3 linked regions of the Arabidopsis thaliana genome follow. The protein of the gene in region 3 interacts with the protein of the main gene of each other region in a pairwise test. Each region holds a gene or a part of one and is shown on either strand. Other genes may lie near its edges.

Region 1 (5,278 bases), on a different chromosome or scaffold from region 3:
TGGAGAAATCTGAAATCAGATAAAAAAAGGTAAAGAGTAGCGTCAAGACGAAGAAGAATATAACTAAAAGCAATTTGGTTAGAGAGGTTTCTGTCGCACTCCTGCTTTTGCTTCACGTCGTCATATTATTCTACAGCCGGCCGTCTCATTTTTATTTTGTAATTGTTATCATCTGAGCCGGATTTTACCCAACTCAAATCATTCCACTATTTGAAATTAGATTTTTCTTGTAATAGTTAATTTCCAAGTAAAATCGAAAGTTATCAAACCAATTCATATCAGTTTGTTACTAAAAAGCTAATAACTGTTAACCTGCAAAATCCTTTTATGTACTTTGTTTTATGGGTAATATTCAAATTAGAATAAATTTTGTGTAAAATCTGTGGGTTCTTCTTATTTAAAATCTGTGGGTAACTTTAAATATTGGGAAATTTACTAATGGAAAGGCATAAAGAAATGAGGACCAGCCACGTCATCAAATCAAAGTATCACATTCCTCTTTTCTTTTTATTTAAAGAAATTAAATAATAGAAGAAGAAGATACCAAAACTCTCTTTTTCTGTGCAAACACTTTGGAGGATTCTTCTAGGCTTCTTTCTACCACAAACACAAGAGCGCGTTTTCTTCACGCCGGCGAACAACGTCAGAGTCATGGCCACCGGAGATGGGAAATCGGTGATGGTCGTCGGAGTTGACGACAGCGAGCAGAGCACTTACGCCTTGGAGTGGACGCTCGATCGTTTCTTCGCTCCTTACGCTCCCAATTATCCTTTTAAGCTCTTCATCGTCCACGCCAAACCTAACGCCGTCTCCGCCGTTGGTCTCGCTGGTCCCGGTACGCTCTTTGCTTTCACTCTCGAATCTACTCTTCTAGGGGTTCTGTTTTGGGCAGCGATGGGGAGAGATCATTTAGGTTTTGTTAATCTGTGTGTTTTAGGAACTGCGGAGGTTGTACCTTATGTTGATGCTGATCTGAAGCATACCGCTGCTAAGGTTGTCGAGAAAGCCAAAGCAATTTGTCAGAGCAGATCGGTACGATCTTGCTATTATCAAACATTCAAATTCGTTTTATGTGTTTCTTGGATTTTATAATCGTCATCATGTGTTGTATTGGACTCTATTAGATGAGTTTGGTAATGTGAATGTGAATCTCTAGCACATTTAAGAGCTTCAAGCTAAGTAGCACTGGTTTTTCTTATAGTAACTATCTATCTTTGGTTAGCAACTATCTTCTTCTTTTCAATCATCATTCCTAGGTTTGTTGTGTAGGTTCATGGCGCGGTGATCGAAGTTTTCGAAGGTGATGCAAGGAATATCCTATGTGAAGTTGTAGATAAGCATCATGCTTCTATTCTTGTTGTGGGAAGCCATGGATATGGAGCTATCAAGAGGTATTATTTCATTCAGCCTTAATTCTTATGATCAATCTTTCAACTATACACCCATTCTGATTCACTTGTCGGTTTGTGTGGCAGGGCGGTTCTCGGGAGTACGAGTGACTACTGCGCTCATCATGCTCATTGCTCGGTGATGATCGTGAAGAAGCCTAAGATCAAGGTCTGAAACCTAAGGGAAGGCTACTCGGTCAAAGCAAAGTCTCTGCATAGTCTTCTAATTCAGAAGAATAAAGTGAAATAATATTAGCTTGATGTGAAACAACGATTCAAGACAATATACATTTGCATCTATATGTGTAATTGTTTACTACATACAATGTTTTGGTATCCTTAGACAATCAATATTCGTGTGTTATAATATGCTAATCTTTCTCATAACAAAATGGATGTGAAAGTTATAATAAACTTCATATGAAAGAGACTAGAGAAGAAAACAAATCAACTAAATAGAGATTAATGATTTAAATGAACAAATTTATAGTTTGGTTGTTGGTTCAGATGGATGGATGGTTTGATGATCATCTATCCAAAACTAAAGTAATAAAATAATAATAAAAAATTATCCACAATGGGAGAGGAAAGAAAAGAAAAGGGAGAGTCCAATGTCATTGTCCGGTTTTGAACCACGTCATCTCTAACAGGTCGGACGAGAGAGAGAGAGAGAGAGAGAGGAAGAGGAAGGATAGATTTACCGCATCGGCGTTCCAAAAGGCAGACGAACTCGGAGAGACAGATAGCGATAGCGAGACATGGTTTCTCATTGATTTTTGTTTGACAATCCTTTCTTTTCTTTTTTTTTGTTCTTTCGAAAAACGAAAATTTTCGTTGGTTCCCTCCGATTTGGCCTGCTGGTGAAGATATGGCCGGAGCTAAAGATTCGGGTTGCGATGATGATCTCCGAATTGCTGGTGGATGTGACCCTGGAAAACGCGGGAACCCGGAGGATTCCTCGTCTCCTGTCGAAGTCTCGTGCTCGATTTGCCTCGAATCGGTGCTCGATGATGGTACCAGATCCAAGGCTAAGCTCCAATGTGGTCACCAGTTCCATTTGGGTATTTCATTCCCTTCCTCCATCTCTTACCATTTTGCGTTCCCTCCATCACAGTTTGATGATCCGATGGCTTTTTGCTTGTACAAGCTTTTGTGCAATTATCTGATGGTAGATTTGGACGATAATTGAATGAATTTGAGAATATAGATGGATTCCTAATCCCTTGCTTTGTTTACAAGCTTAGATTGCCACGACTCTGCAGTTGGTTGATCCTAGAAATGATCGAGTTCTGACAAATGTGTGTCGTAACTTGTGAATCGGTTTCTTCTCTTGTGTAGATATAGAATGAGGCTTGCTAGTTCTATTATCTGGCTGCTGAATTTGTTGCTATTTTCGGCTTTCCCTTTAGCAGCTTGTTTTTTGGTTTCTTGCAGATTGCATTGGATCAGCATTTAACATGAAAGGAGCCATGCAATGCCCTAACTGTCGCAATGTCGAAAAGGGTCAGTGGTTGTATGCAAACGGTTCTACTCGCCCCTTTCCAGAGTTTTCCATGGAAGATTGGATCCCTGAAGAAGACTTGTACGGTTTAAGCTATCCGGAAATGGTAAAAGCTCACTACTTTGTGCAACGATATGCTTTCTTTTCGTGTACATGAGAACTGTGCTTTTATCATATAACCTCCTTATGAGAGATCGCTTATCCTGACATTTTTACGGGGTTTGCAGCAATATCGGGTCCATTGGTGCCCGTTTGGTGAACTCTCTCAAGCAGCAGCTTCTTTCGAGTAAGCCTACAACACCTTTACCATGGTTTTTGCTATTATCTCTCTTTTCTAAGGCTTTTGATCCTTCAAACGCGAAAGCTAGAATTGACTTTTGCTCTGTGTTTCAGGGAACTGGAACCTGCAACCACTACATGTAAGTTAGACGCTGATTGTTCTGTATATAATCATTTCATTTTGTCTAGCAATCCGTTTATAATGTCAAAACCCATATTTCTTCCTTAGATCATACTGAGTTCCATGGACATCACGCCGCTGCTGTGAATCATTCGTATCTTGCATATGTTGGACCTGGCCCAGCCGCTACCCCGAGAACTAGCGACAATAACAGCACAGATGATCATCCCTGGAACAGCCACTCTAACGATCACTTTCACCAGCTTCCTGTTGCCCCCCAGTATCATCACCATTCCCCATCGTTTTCACTACCCGCTGCTCATGTGGTTGATGGTGAAGTTGACTCTTCAGCAGCACGAGGCCTACCTTATGCGCATCCATTTCTTTTTAGTCACCGGTTAGCTTCTCAAACTCCCTATTGCTCTCAACTTCTTGCAGAGTGTTTTACAATATTCTTTTGGAATTGGGCATTGTAGGTCTAATCAAAGGTCCTCACCAGCAATTAACAGTTACCAAGGAAGCAGCACCCAAATGCGTGAACAGCATCATGCTTATAATCATCAGAGGCAACAACATCATGCCAATGGTCCCACTCTCGCATCACCTCTCATCTCCATGACAAGAAGGGGATTACCGCCGCCGCCACCTCCCCCACCAATGCCAGATCAGAACGTTGGATTCTTCATTTATCCAGGTGGACACCATGAACCAGAAACCGATCAAATTCATGCATGGGAGAGAGATTGGTTCCCACATTTCCCTGTCCCATCGAATCATCGCACGATCCCTAGCTTGTGGCATAGACACTTCTGAGAGAAGTTGTGTCAGAACTCTACAGTCGCCTGGGAGAATTCTATCAGGCTTAATGATCAATGTATAAAAGAAAACTGGGGACTTGTTTGATCGATCAAAACTTGTTTATGATGTAACTATAACTGGTTTCCAATGTACATTGTGAGCTTTCCAAGAACAATTGTTATAATTAATTAAACACAAGTTATCGACAAAATGTTGCCATTGTTCCTGGTTGGATGGAGTAATAGTGAAGAAGTAAATGATCCACAATCCACATGTCCATAATTCAGGTGGAAAAGTATACGTCTCAAAGAGACGATTTAACATAAAAAGAAAGCAGAACATGATTGGATAAAATTGAAAACTGAAAAACAATCAAAGCGTTTAGAGATTCCAAGATACAAAATCTTCCATGAACCTTTTATTATTCTTCTCTGGAATCGGATGAAGCTTGAAGGAGGATTGTTGAGACTAGTGATGGTTGTGAGTCCCATCTCCGGCTTCTTCACCTTTCCTCGAAGCTGCTCTTAGTTTACGCTGCTCCTCCTTGTATATCCTGTTCCTTCTTTGAAACTGCAACAACAGGTACACAACACATAAAAACTTAAACTTACAGCATCTTCATTCAAAGTAAAGAAACCACTGGTGTCAATCGTAATGTTCTAAGAGAGCCGTGTAATTGCAGAAGAAACAGTTGTAACATGTACAGAGATGATTTAGTTCCAGAAACGCCTAATCGATACATCCTATCTTAAACAAGAGAACATGATCTTTCAATGGCATCTTGATTCTGCAGCTGAGGATTCCGAAAATGGCCAATCAACAAAGGCATGGGACTCATTTCCCAATTGCTCGACCTGATCTAGGATTTTTGGAATTTCGACAACTAAGTGATCTAGACATCACAATCACACTGATCTAGCCGGAAACAGTGGCGAACATCAGAACCATCAAATCAATGAAATTCTTCAAACAATATCACCGGAAAAAAGAAGTGGGTACCTACCTCTTTGGAATGGTGGAGACACTCGAGGTAATCTTCACGAAGAAGGGTACAATCTTTGGGCTCTCTGCAGTGAGACATACATTCACTGAAATCCATCCAGAAATCGTAGCATCTCCCTTTGTTTCCCGTTATTCCCCATCCCGACGCCATTTCCTCTCCAACCCAAATCGGAAGAACGCAACAAAACC
Region 2 (6,900 bases), on a different chromosome or scaffold from region 3:
AAACCCTATCAGCTGATCTGGTCGGTAGAATTGCACCTGTTTTATAGTAGACTTCTCTCCGAAAGACCACCATAAAGTTTGTCCCAAGTTTGGAGTGTTTTCCGAATTTCATGGATAATCAGACCGCCTGCATTTCTAACTACCATGTAAACCAGTTAGAATTTAGCCAAAACCCAACTAACACACTTTTCAGACAAATGTGTTTTTTTTCCAAAGATGGTCGAACTTAGATATAAAAATTTCACTCTTGACCAAAATTTTCTCTACCATATTGAGTAATTCAATTCTCTCTCTAAAAATTAGAGAAGTAACCCTCTAAACCAAATCATTTTAAAATGTATATAAAAACTCATTTAAATCATGATCAATTACAACATTATATAGAAATTCTCTCTTCTTCGAATCTCTCAAAGTAAGATGGTTATAATCATGTGTGTGGTTTCACTAATTAAACAAAGACACTTTGATTTTCACAATGAAATCAACATATGCCTTCAAAAACATTTCACATCCCAAAACAAATTTTAATATTCAAATACTTTTCAAAAATTAAAATTAAATTATGCTTTCAGGGGTATATGAAATTACTTTAATTTCCATATATCAAAGTTAAAATGTGCAACCATATTTGGATTTTATAAAATTTAAACAAAACATTAAATTTAAAATGATTTTTCTTAAAATATAAAAATATTATGTATGAATAGAATGAAATTTCTTCTTAAAAAAACGTTTCAAGAAGATAAAATTTATTTAAGGGGATGAACCTTATTATTTACAGTTCAGAAAATAATAAAGAAATTGATTGCTAATAATAAAATATTGACCAAAATTTAGAAGTAAATATTACACATAGACTTTTTGTTAACCCTAAAAAAACCTTTTTCGTTTTTTTCCTTTCTTTTATATATATAGGATAGGATAAAACCATTCATAAGTTAATAAATCTGCACACATATACTCTCTTTTTTATTACAGTTCACGCATTGATTGCAAACAATAAAACCAATATTGACCAATTAACTAGAAGTAAATATTATTAATAAAAATATTTTTTAACATGATGCACTCAAATAAAAAATATTTTTAGATTTTTTCTTTCTTTTGTATATAGGATAAAGAAAGACCATTCATAAATTGATAAATCTTGCCAGTACCAAATTTAGGTAACTAGTGATTCTGATCCACACGTATACTCTTTTTTTTTGTACATATATTTAAATGGGGAATCTAAGCTAATGGAAGAAAATAAACAATAAAAATAAAAAAGATAAACAGAAGGAGAAAGTAGACCAAAGTTACATGACAACTAGGAAACAAAAAGTTCGAAAAGAAACCGGATTTGTTCTGCTCGGTTAAGTTCCGGTTTAGTTCAGTATGAACAAATAAAAGTAAAACAAACGAGGGACGTGTGTATGGAAGAGGCAAAGGCTGAGAAACTTTTGGTTGGGACAATTTGCTTAAGTAATGACTAATGAATGACCCAAAAGAAAAATCCTATTAACTCTTTCTTCTTAAGCCAACTTGCTTTCTTCTTCAACATTACACATTACGTGTAACTGTAATTAATTAAAAATCTTTACACATTGAATTATTAGTTTTTGTTTATTCGTTGATTTAGGCATTTAGCAATTCAATTCAGTCTTTGGAAACTGTTCTTATGACTGACCCTTTTTAACTTTTTGATTCAATTTCCTTAAAATATTAGTTTTTATTTTGGGTTATATGGTAAATTACACATTGCCGTCTCGTCCTAATAATCCTCTTTTCTGTTCCCATTTGTGTTGTTGTGCTTTGCTTCCTTCCTTTTTCCTCATTCTCTCTTCTTCTCCTTCTTCCTTCTCCTCCACCACAAAGCGGTAGGTTTCTCTCTTCAACAATCGGTGAGTCTCTTTCGTTTTCATTAAGAATCTTCATAAAGTTTTGATTTTTATTGTTCTTAGATCGATTTATGTTCTGTATCTGTTTGGTTTTGGTTTTGATTTTGATTTTTGTGTCTTTTCTGGGTTCTATTGGGTTTTCAAAGCTCGATCGAAATAGATAAGAATCGGTTGGTGGGTTTTTTGAAAAATAGTTTTTTTTTTGAAATTTTGTGTCAAATTCTGTAGAATTGTTGTTGTGGTGAATTTATTATTCATCAGAAGGTAAAAAAATTATTTTTTGTTATTGGGTTTTAGATGTTTGAATCGGATCTTTACTTCTATGAGCTTGTTTTATGAGAAAGTTTGATTCTTTGAGGTTTTTGAATTGTTTTTTATTGTGATGATGCTTTATCTTCAAGCTGTGGGTTTCTTTTGTCTTTGCTTTTACCTTGCTGTTTCAATACATCTTTGCTTGGTATTGAGGATTTGTGAAACTTCATACGCTGTTGCATCTATGGGTAGTTGATATGTCATTGATGAGGCAGTGCTTATTTTGATATTTCTCTTGTTTTTCTGAATTGCCATTGTGGTGGTAGTTGAGTAAAATGTTTTTCACTCTTTTCCTTGTTTCAAAATTGGCATGCTTGTTACGTGGTCCTGGATTTTGTTTGTACCTCATTTTCATTGACGCTTTGTTTCGAAGTTGGCAGTTAGGTGTCAATTTGATAATTTAGACTTGAAGTTCTTTTGTGTTTAGAATGGTTGATCATATGAATTTTCTATCGCATCTGTCCTCTTATTTTTTAAGCTTGTTAATAACTCATGTGTCATTAGTTTCCTACTGAATCATTTGTGTTTTAGTTAGGCGTCGCATCTAGAAGTAAGTTGCATTTAGTAGTAGTTGCAGCGGTCTTGCTTTGAGTGACTTTTGCACCTTGTGCTCTTCTAGGTGAAGCAGATTATATGACTGTATATGCAATCTCAGGGTGCCATTTATTATTACAATTGTAGGAGCTATGTTTTGATTGAGTGTGTTTATATGTTTCTTATTACAGTTGACATCGTGTAGAAGCCTTTTCCTTGTCTTTGTTACTGAAAGATCTACTGTCTTTGTTGTTTTGCAGTCTCCCCATTAGGCACATTGTTGAGGGCAGGGTAGTCTCGTGAGTTCTCTTCTCCTGAGTGTAACTGTGGTTAAAAGCTTAGCCAAGATGCAGGGGGAGAGGGCCAGTCTTGGCTATTTATCAGAGGCCTTGAACTTTGAGCATGGTTCTTCTTCAAGTAATGGTGTGATAGATCATTGGGAGAATATTCACAGTCTTGGTGATAATGACTTGCAGGATTACATGATTGCAAATTCTGAATCAAATACTTCGCTTGCAAACTCAGTTTATCACGAGCAACAGGGTTTACGCAGATTTAGCCTTGGTGAGGCTAGCTCTAGTGGCACGAAGGATGAAGCTTCCAGTCACAATGAGCAACGAATGGAAACAAGATGCTTTGACGGACGAGGAAATGAAATAATTGATTTAGACCCAGTGTTTGCGCAGCCATCAGGCACAAATCAACCTGTTCAGAATGTCAATCTGAATGCAGAGTATATAGAAATTCACGAGGATATTAATCCATATAGAGGTCGGTCTGGCTTCATAGAAGCTAATGGACCAGGGACCAGGGTCTCACAACCTGGCAGATCTTTTGAAGAGAACGGTGTTGGAACAGGTTCTTCTGTAGAGGGACGTCGTGCATCCTGCAAAAGAAAAGCTCTTGAAGGCAGTATTAGTCAATCTTCTTCAGGAGGTTATCATGATTTCCAGCGTGGAGAAAGCAGTTCGTGGACCCCAGGTTCTACGGTTTTTAGGCCAGGAAATGGTTTAAACATATCTGGCTCCCTTGACAATGGACCAAGAGGAATGGTCTCCGGTACTGTACCAAATTTTCCTGTTTCTGCACCAAATTTTCCTGTTTCTGCCATTGCAGAGAGCTCCAGTAGAAATATATGCGTCAGGAGTAATCCCTCAGATCATCAAGAAACTGTAAACCCATCTACCTTTGCTGCGGGAACTGTTGTCAGGCGGCCTGTCCCTCCATCCCAGTTGAACTTGTCAAGACACTTACCAGCAGATCAGCATTCATTGGACTTGAGACCTGGACAGTCTTTTGTCGTTTCTCGTAACCCAAATTCTACTCCTGTGAGCATACCACCTGGTTCAAGGACTATGCTACCACCATTTCGGTGGACTGGGAGCTCACTAGTGGGTGGAACATCGAACTCTACTGCGCCCGTTGAGAGAAATCTTCATCTAGATGAAACCAGGTCAAGAAGCATACCCGGGAATACTCTTGAGATTCCCATGTTTGCAGCTCCTGAGGTAGGAAATTTTGCCCGTAGTCAGAGTAGCAGAAATGTAACAAATGGAAACCTGAATAGTGCATCATCAGTGTCCAGGACAGGCTCAACAACAAGTGTTCCACCACCACCACCACCATCTTCTAATCTAGCGTGGACTTCTTACCAGAATTCACCACATTATCAAAGAAGAAGGACTGAAAGGTCTGAACTTGCACGTAGGTCCTTGCTTTCTTCCCTTGCAGCAGATGCTACAAACCAGAGATCTGGTGATCATCCAACACTTCGTTCGTTGGCCCCTCCTGCCTCTTCGGATGGGCTTGTGCTTCAGCCTGGTGGTGATAATAGTCAGATGCATAATCGGGCTTACTCGAGAGCAGGTCCGTTGTTTGATAGGCAAGGGGATAGTGTGGTTGGTATTCCTCATCCTTTGCGGGCCTTGGCAGCTGCAAGCAGAGGAAGAAGCAGACTTATGGTGTCCCAGGTCAGTCGATACAAATTCTATTGGCATGTAGCCTTTAACGTGGATGGAATTTGTTAACTTTGGCTCATTCAGTTGCGCATAAATACCATTTGTTTGTTCTTCAGCAGTCACTCAAATAGAACTAACAATACGTTTCTCTTTCCGACAGATGCAGAATGTCTTGGATGTCATGCGTAGGGATGCTAATAATAACAACTTGCGGCTTGAGGTTAGTTTTTCCTGATTGTAGCGAAGTTATCTAAATTCGAACTTGTCTTGTGTCTGTCTCTGTTGATTTCTAGATGAACTAGCCTAATAACTGGAACATAAATAATCTGGATGCTTGTTTTCCAGGACGTTATGCTTCTAAATCACTCAGTACTATTTGATGGGGCTACTGGTCATGACCGGTATAGAGACATGCGACTTGATGTGGACAACATGTCATATGAGGTAAATTAAAAACCATAGTGAACCATAAATCTTTGTCTGAGTCACGTTAAATCACTAAATCTAACTCCTTTTGGTTCATAAACTGTAGGAATTGTTGGCACTAGAAGAGCGGATTGGAGATGTTTGTACCGGTGTAAACGAGGAAACCATATCAAACCGGTTAAAGCAACGAAAATACAAAAGCAACACAAAATCTCCACAAGATGCAGAGCCATGCTGTGTTTGTCAGGTAAAAATATACTAGTTACTGAAATAGCATTTAAAAGGTATAAGATTGTTTTTCGTCCGAGTATGAATGGTGAAAACTTGGTGCAGGAGGAATACACCGAAGGAGAAGACATGGGGACACTAGAATGTGGGCATGAATTCCATAGCCAATGCATTAAAGAATGGCTGAAACAGAAGAATCTTTGCCCAATCTGCAAGACTACAGGCTTGAACACCGCGAAGAAGCGGAGGATAGCATGATGATTTCTCGAAAGAGCTTTTTTTTTTTCTTAACTATTCAATTTTATAATCAAAAATGAAAGAAACAGAAGGTACCCTCAAGCCCCCACACCATTGCAGAGCCAGGCAAGTTTGTCCCCAATTTTTTTTAAAAAAAAGATAGAATTTGTTCGTATTTATAATCTGAGTATGAAAGATGGAAAGATTTGGATTGAAGGGAAAAGATAAAGGGTGGTAGGGAAATGTTGTTTTTTTCTTTTATGGATTTGTTTGGATAATTTAATTTTACCCATTGTCAATTAAGTTTATGAATCCTTTGAAAGAAGCAGGAAGTTGAATCAGCCGATTTTGAGAGAATACTTACTTTGAAAGCCCATATGTTGTTTTGAGTTACCTAGTTTGCTCTAATTGGTTACAAAAGTTTTAGGATGCAAAAATGTTGCAATTTTGGAGAAACAAAATCAAGTTGGATATGTGCAAATGGTTGTCCCTTAAGAGGCAGAGTAATAAGGTGAACAAGTTGAGTAAAAATTTAGTTGGAAGAATAAAATGAATAGATTGAGAGAAATAAGTTGTGTGTTGTTTAACTTGTTATGCTCGTATGATGGGACTTTAAGAAAAGAGATTTTATGGTAAATAGTAGAACTGTAGAGGAATGCAAAGGATTACACGTACGCTTTGAATGGTAGATATGGGCAAAGCGGACTAAAACAGTAACGGATTATAGTTTATGAATGGTAAACGAAAATCTCTTCAAACAAATGGATTTGTCTGTCCTAACCATCACAACCATTCCGGACTACAATATTTTTCTCAATTTTGTTACTCTAAATTAGAAATGTTTTGCATATATACTAAGGAGAACAAATCAAAAATCAAACTCTATTTGAAAGTCTTCCTAGAAATAGTAGCCCTCCAATATACAACAAGGCTAAGAAGAGCCGAAATTACCAAAGCAATGACCAACATATTGGAATTTGCCAATGCAACAACCAACAAATCCTAGAGGATTTACGGATCTCAATCATGTCCAAAGTCAAATGCAGAAAACTAAAGAAACTGAGGCTAGTCTTCAAATCATTAAGAGAAATGTTGATGACGTCCCATTCTTATCGACGGCACATGTTGACTTAAGTAAACGGTCCTGGAGGATATACGAATCTCAATCTTCTCTAGAGCTGTGACAGTTGCTTATTTCATTTGCGAGTTTTCATTCTGCGACTTATGTCATTAGGCGATTATGCGGTGTTACCAAATTTGAAACGAAATTGCATGTGGATGCATGTATTTATTGATGATTCCATTATGCTAAGTTACTTATCGTT
Region 3 (5,110 bases):
AAAACATTTGAGAAGCTTGATGCCCTCAGGATCATTAGCCTTAGATCCAACCACCTTCAAGGGAACATTCCATCTGTCATTCTTTCACTTCCTTTTATCCGATCACTATACTTTCATGAAAACAACTTTTCTGGTACTATCCCTCCCGTCCTTTCTCATCGCCTCGTTAATCTTGATCTCTCCGCCAACTCGCTCTCGGGAAACATTCCCACGAGTCTACAAAACCTTACCCAGCTCACTGATCTCAGCCTGCAAAACAATTCTCTTAGTGGTCCAATTCCTAACCTCCCTCCTCGCCTTAAATACTTGAATTTGAGCTTCAATAACCTTAACGGGTCAGTTCCATCTTCTGTCAAGTCCTTCCCAGCATCCTCATTTCAAGGTAATAGCCTTCTATGCGGTGCTCCTCTGACTCCATGCCCAGAAAACACCACTGCACCATCTCCTTCACCGACAACACCAACAGAAGGTCCTGGTACAACCAATATAGGTCGTGGTACCGCCAAAAAAGTTCTCTCCACTGGTGCTATTGTGGGCATTGCAGTTGGAGGTTCGGTTCTGTTGTTTATCATTCTTGCCATCATAACCCTTTGCTGTGCCAAGAAAAGAGATGGCGGGCAAGATAGCACCGCAGTGCCAAAAGCTAAACCCGGGAGGAGTGACAACAAGGCTGAGGAGTTTGGGAGTGGGGTGCAAGAGGCGGAGAAGAACAAGCTGGTCTTCTTTGAAGGAAGTTCATATAACTTTGATCTTGAGGACTTGCTCAGAGCCTCGGCTGAAGTTTTAGGGAAAGGAAGCTATGGCACAACGTATAAGGCCATCTTAGAGGAAGGAACCACGGTGGTGGTGAAGAGACTGAAAGAAGTAGCAGCTGGGAAACGGGAGTTCGAGCAGCAGATGGAAGCCGTGGGAAGGATCAGTCCACACGTGAATGTAGCTCCTCTCCGTGCCTATTACTTTTCAAAAGACGAGAAGCTACTCGTGTATGATTACTACCAAGGGGGCAATTTCTCCATGCTGCTTCATGGTAATATGATGTTTTACATGTTACTCAAGGTTATAAAAAGTGGCTTTAAAGTAACACTTTAGATGAATTCTATGCAGGAAACAATGAGGGAGGAAGAGCAGCGTTGGACTGGGAAACAAGGTTAAGGATCTGTTTGGAAGCTGCGAGGGGAATTTCTCACATCCATTCTGCATCTGGTGCTAAACTCCTCCATGGAAACATCAAATCACCAAATGTCCTCTTAACCCAAGAACTTCATGTCTGTGTCTCTGATTTCGGTATAGCTCCATTGATGAGCCATCACACCTTGATCCCATCAAGAAGCTTAGGTTACAGAGCACCCGAGGCCATAGAAACACGGAAACATACCCAGAAGTCCGACGTATACAGCTTTGGTGTACTGTTGCTAGAAATGCTGACTGGGAAAGCAGCAGGGAAGACTACTGGGCATGAAGAAGTGGTGGATCTGCCAAAGTGGGTGCAATCAGTGGTGAGAGAGGAGTGGACTGGAGAAGTGTTTGACGTAGAGCTGATCAAGCAGCAACACAACGTAGAGGAAGAAATGGTGCAGATGTTGCAGATAGCAATGGCATGTGTGTCTAAGCATCCAGATTCTAGGCCTTCAATGGAGGAAGTGGTTAACATGATGGAGGAGATTCGACCTTCAGGGTCCGGTCCTGGTTCTGGTAACAGAGCCTCCTCGCCGGAGATGATCAGAAGCTCTGATAGCCCGGTTTAGATTGGTTTTAAATTCTCTTTCTCTCATTCTCAAATCATTATTTATTTTTGCTTTTCCTTCTTCTTCTTCTTCATAAACCGTTTATTTTAGTTCTCTATGTCTGACTGCATAATTTATTCCAATCAATATCTGGAATTGTAGTGTAATTGAAACCCTCACCATGAATGGTTGTAGTTCTTAGATTGGTTATAAGTGTGCGACTAGTTTTGAATTTTCATTTGTTGTTGTATGATTCGTTTAAATTAAATCACAAGAGTCTTTGGGTGTTTGAAAATCTAACTGAAATAGTGATACAATTATATGTGAAATTTATCGTCTCAAAAAGATAAACTACATGAGTAAATAAATAAAAATAAAATCATTGCTCTGTATTTTTTGACTGCATGAGTCCTAATTGGTGAAATAAAAAAACTTTTGGCACGAGAATTAATAAATATATAGAAAAGGTGAAATAGGTGAGGCGGTACTTGCTGATAGAATCAGAAGCTTCGAGACTGACTTGTTTTAGATTCTCTGACTATAAAGAAAGGCAAAGTAACAAGTTTCGTTTTCTCCTTTGCACTCCATTTTTATTCTCGATTCTCTTCTCTCCCGATAAAGAAGCTCTCGCTTTGTGTTGTCCGTCCTTCTTCCAGGTCTAATTCCACCATTTCTCTTTGGTTAAACCCTAATTTCTTTCTCTCCCGAATCGTCCTCTGTTTTTGTTTTGCGCGATTAGTTTCCACCGCTTAATAATAGGGTTTCCGATCACTTACGTTTTGTGTTGTTTTGTTCGGTCTCTGGTTCTTCCACTGTGATCTGTTTTGTTCTTAAGTTGATTGTCTTAAGTTATATCCTCTGTTCAATAATATTCTGGTCTTGTTGGGGGTTTCCACAGGTTTTCTCGTCTCTGACGCATGGCTTCTAAGAGGATCTTGAAGGAGCTCAAGGATCTGCAGAAGGATCCTCCTTCAAACTGCAGCGCTGGTAATCTCCCTTTTCTAATCTGATTTTAACCAATTACTTACCTGGCACTAATGACTCTGAATTAGGTTCCTTACTCTCTCACTAGATTGATGTAGGTTAGGGTATCAAGTATCATACTTTATTTCCTCAATCCATGTTATGCTTCTGATTTTTTTTTTGGTAAAAGCTTTGGTTTGCTAGACTCTTTGATTAACGCTGATCTCATGGATTTTGTTGTCTGTTATGCACTTCATATTTACCCTTTCCTGTCCTGTATTTGACAAGTATCCAGAACTCTGCATGGTTTTGAGTTTATGTCAAAGTGTCTCCTTTTGTAGCTCCTGCTAATATGTCTTTATTGATGTAATTTTGTTGTCACGTTGTTTTAGGTCCGGTGGCTGAGGACATGTTCCATTGGCAAGCCACTATCATGGGACCTCCTGAAAGTCCGTATGCCGGAGGAGTGTTTTTGGTTTCTATTCATTTCCCTCCGGATTATCCTTTCAAGCCACCAAAGGTAATGTGTTGTGTTATGAGACTCTTTATGATTCATCGGTTTTTATCATTGATCTTATGATGTGAATCCATCGATCTTGCAGGTGTCTTTTAAGACTAAGGTGTACCATCCAAACATCAATAGCAATGGAAGTATTTGCCTTGATATTTTGAAAGAGCAATGGAGCCCTGCTCTTACTATCTCTAAGGTTCGAGTTTGTGTATCTCTACTCCTACCATTTTAACACAAATTATGTTACTATCTTAGCCAATTTTGTGTGTTAACGCGAGCGATATTGATGCTGTGGAAATTAGGTTCTGTTGTCGATTTGCTCGCTGTTGACTGACCCAAACCCAGATGATCCTCTTGTGCCGGAGATAGCTCACATGTACAAGACAGATAGATCCAAGTACGAGTCAACTGCGAGAAGCTGGACACAAAAGTACGCAATGGGTTGATGATATAAGACAAAGCAAAGGATATGTTATTGCGCATCGGAATAAAATAATAACTTAAAAAAAATGCACTTGTTTGGTTTATCAAACGTTAGCAAGTATCGAACAACTTAGCTGCTCTTACTCCTCTTCTGTTCTGATCACTATAAACTAGTATTAATTTCGATTGTTGGGTCTACTTTTATTCTCTTGTTTCCCTCTCCTCACTTGGTTGCAGGAAACTGCAATTCTAATCGCCCCAAACGCAATGTTTGGACTGTTTTGGTACACTCTTGACATAAGGGGTTCCAATCTACACATGGATCAACCACAACCAAAACCAAACCAACTATGAGCCTTCCATAGTTAGGATTATACATTGCTCCCAAATACAAAACTCGTTCCTAATCTTCTATTAACTTATACCAAAGTTGGTATATTTATGATTAAATTATTGATTTTCTTAATTTTTTTAATATATTTCAAAAGTGTACATGGTTCTAATAAAACACTTAAGAAATTTTCCATATTGTTTACAATAGCTGTTTTAGGAAATATCATATCTATAGACCAAACCAAGAATATCTTTAGACCAAACCAAGAATAGGTGTTTTAGAAAATAAACATATCTTTGGTTGCAATTTTCCAATATCATCCGCCATGGGTCCCTACTAATAGGTCAGGCGGTACTTGCCGACAGAATCAGAAGCCTCGAGACTGACTTGTATTCTCCGACTATAAAAAAGAAGTAGAGGGTTTTAGGCTTTTCACGAATCTCTTCTCTCTTTTGTAGTGGCCTTGAAAAAAAGATTCAATCTCCTGTTGTGGTATGTTTCTTTTGATCCATCTTTCCTTTATGTTTTCTGTTTCAACTACTTCTTAGGGTTTATCATCACTTACGTTACGTATGTATTGTTTTATTCGTCTTCCTCTATGATATGTTATGTTCTTAGTTGAATTCCTTAATACTCATTGTGTGTTGCTTATCTCGTCCGCAGGTTTTCGAGTCTAAAAGCATGGCTTCTAAGAGGATTTCAAGGGAACTGAGGGATATGCAGAGACATCCTCCAGCAAACTGTAGCGCAGGTAATCTCCCTTTTCTTGGCTGATTTTGACTGATAGATTCACACTAAAAACACTTTTAGGGTTTGATATATGTCACACTTTTATTTCATCAATCCACATTATATGTTTCTGAGTTTTTTTTGGTAACGCTATGATTTGTTAGACTCTCTTTGGTTCTGTTATATATATGTACTCTGCATGAACCTTTTTTTTTTTTTTTTTTGTATTCGAGAAAACTCGTTAAACCTTTGCCTGGTACGATTAAGAATATCCAGAGGTTTAGCTTGCTTTTATTTCAAGTGTCTCCTTTTGTACTTCTTATTTATTCTGCCAATTTGTCTCTGTTCTATAAGAAGTATCACTTGATCATGCAGGTTTTATTGTCTTTTTCGATGAATAAATGGGTCTGATTGCAACGTCTTTCT

Evidence for each region. The genes of interacting proteins can lie anywhere in the genome.
Region 1: the proteins of UBC11 (region 3) and RFI2 interact in a two-hybrid assay, tested with the Arabidopsis thaliana proteins (one large-scale study listed by BioGRID).
Region 2: the proteins of UBC11 (region 3) and AT5G42940 interact in a two-hybrid assay, tested with the Arabidopsis thaliana proteins (one large-scale study listed by BioGRID).

The regions. Positions count from the first base shown.
Region 1 is NC_003071.7:19,551,330-19,556,607, reverse strand, and holds RFI2 (RING/U-box superfamily protein), read left to right. Parts: upstream 1-1,960; 5' UTR 1,961-2,256; coding exon 2,257-2,449; intron 2,450-2,822; coding exon 2,823-2,995; intron 2,996-3,116; coding exon 3,117-3,175; intron 3,176-3,282; coding exon 3,283-3,308; intron 3,309-3,397; coding exon 3,398-3,686; coding exon of another isoform or gene 3,687-3,765; coding exon 3,766-4,102; 3' UTR 4,103-4,294; downstream 4,295-5,278. Other genes in the region: AT2G47710 (Adenine nucleotide alpha hydrolases-like superfamily protein), read left to right, coding at 652-835, 938-1,032, 1,270-1,391, 1,476-1,563; AT2G47690 (NADH-ubiquinone oxidoreductase-like protein), read right to left, coding at 4,556-4,657, 5,091-5,278. UniProt on the Arabidopsis thaliana protein: Mediates phytochrome (phyA and phyB)-controlled seedling deetiolation responses such as hypocotyl elongation in response to red and far-red light. Required for light-induced expression of LHCB3 and CHALCONE SYNTHASE (CHS).
Region 2 is NC_003076.8:17,215,345-17,222,244, reverse strand, and holds AT5G42940 (RING/U-box superfamily protein), read left to right. Parts: upstream 1-1,572; 5' UTR 1,573-1,883; intron 1,884-2,986; 5' UTR 2,987-3,073; coding exon 3,074-4,696; intron 4,697-4,844; coding exon 4,845-4,904; intron 4,905-5,029; coding exon 5,030-5,128; intron 5,129-5,216; coding exon 5,217-5,357; intron 5,358-5,443; coding exon 5,444-5,596; 3' UTR 5,597-5,916; downstream 5,917-6,900. UniProt on the Arabidopsis thaliana protein: Probable E3 ubiquitin-protein ligase that may possess E3 ubiquitin ligase activity in vitro.
Region 3 is NC_003074.8:2,638,846-2,643,955, forward strand, and holds UBC11 (ubiquitin-conjugating enzyme 11), read left to right. Parts: upstream 1-2,166; 5' UTR 2,167-2,380; exon of another isoform or gene 2,381-2,520; intron 2,521-2,622; 5' UTR 2,623-2,641; coding exon 2,642-2,711; intron 2,712-3,079; coding exon 3,080-3,207; intron 3,208-3,289; coding exon 3,290-3,394; intron 3,395-3,500; coding exon 3,501-3,644; 3' UTR 3,645-4,074; downstream 4,075-5,110. Other genes in the region: AT3G08680 (Leucine-rich repeat protein kinase family protein), read left to right, coding at 1-1,027, 1,105-1,745; UBC12 (ubiquitin-conjugating enzyme 12), read left to right, coding at 4,637-4,706. UniProt on the Arabidopsis thaliana protein: Accepts the ubiquitin from the E1 complex and catalyzes its covalent attachment to other proteins. Mediates the selective degradation of short-lived and abnormal proteins.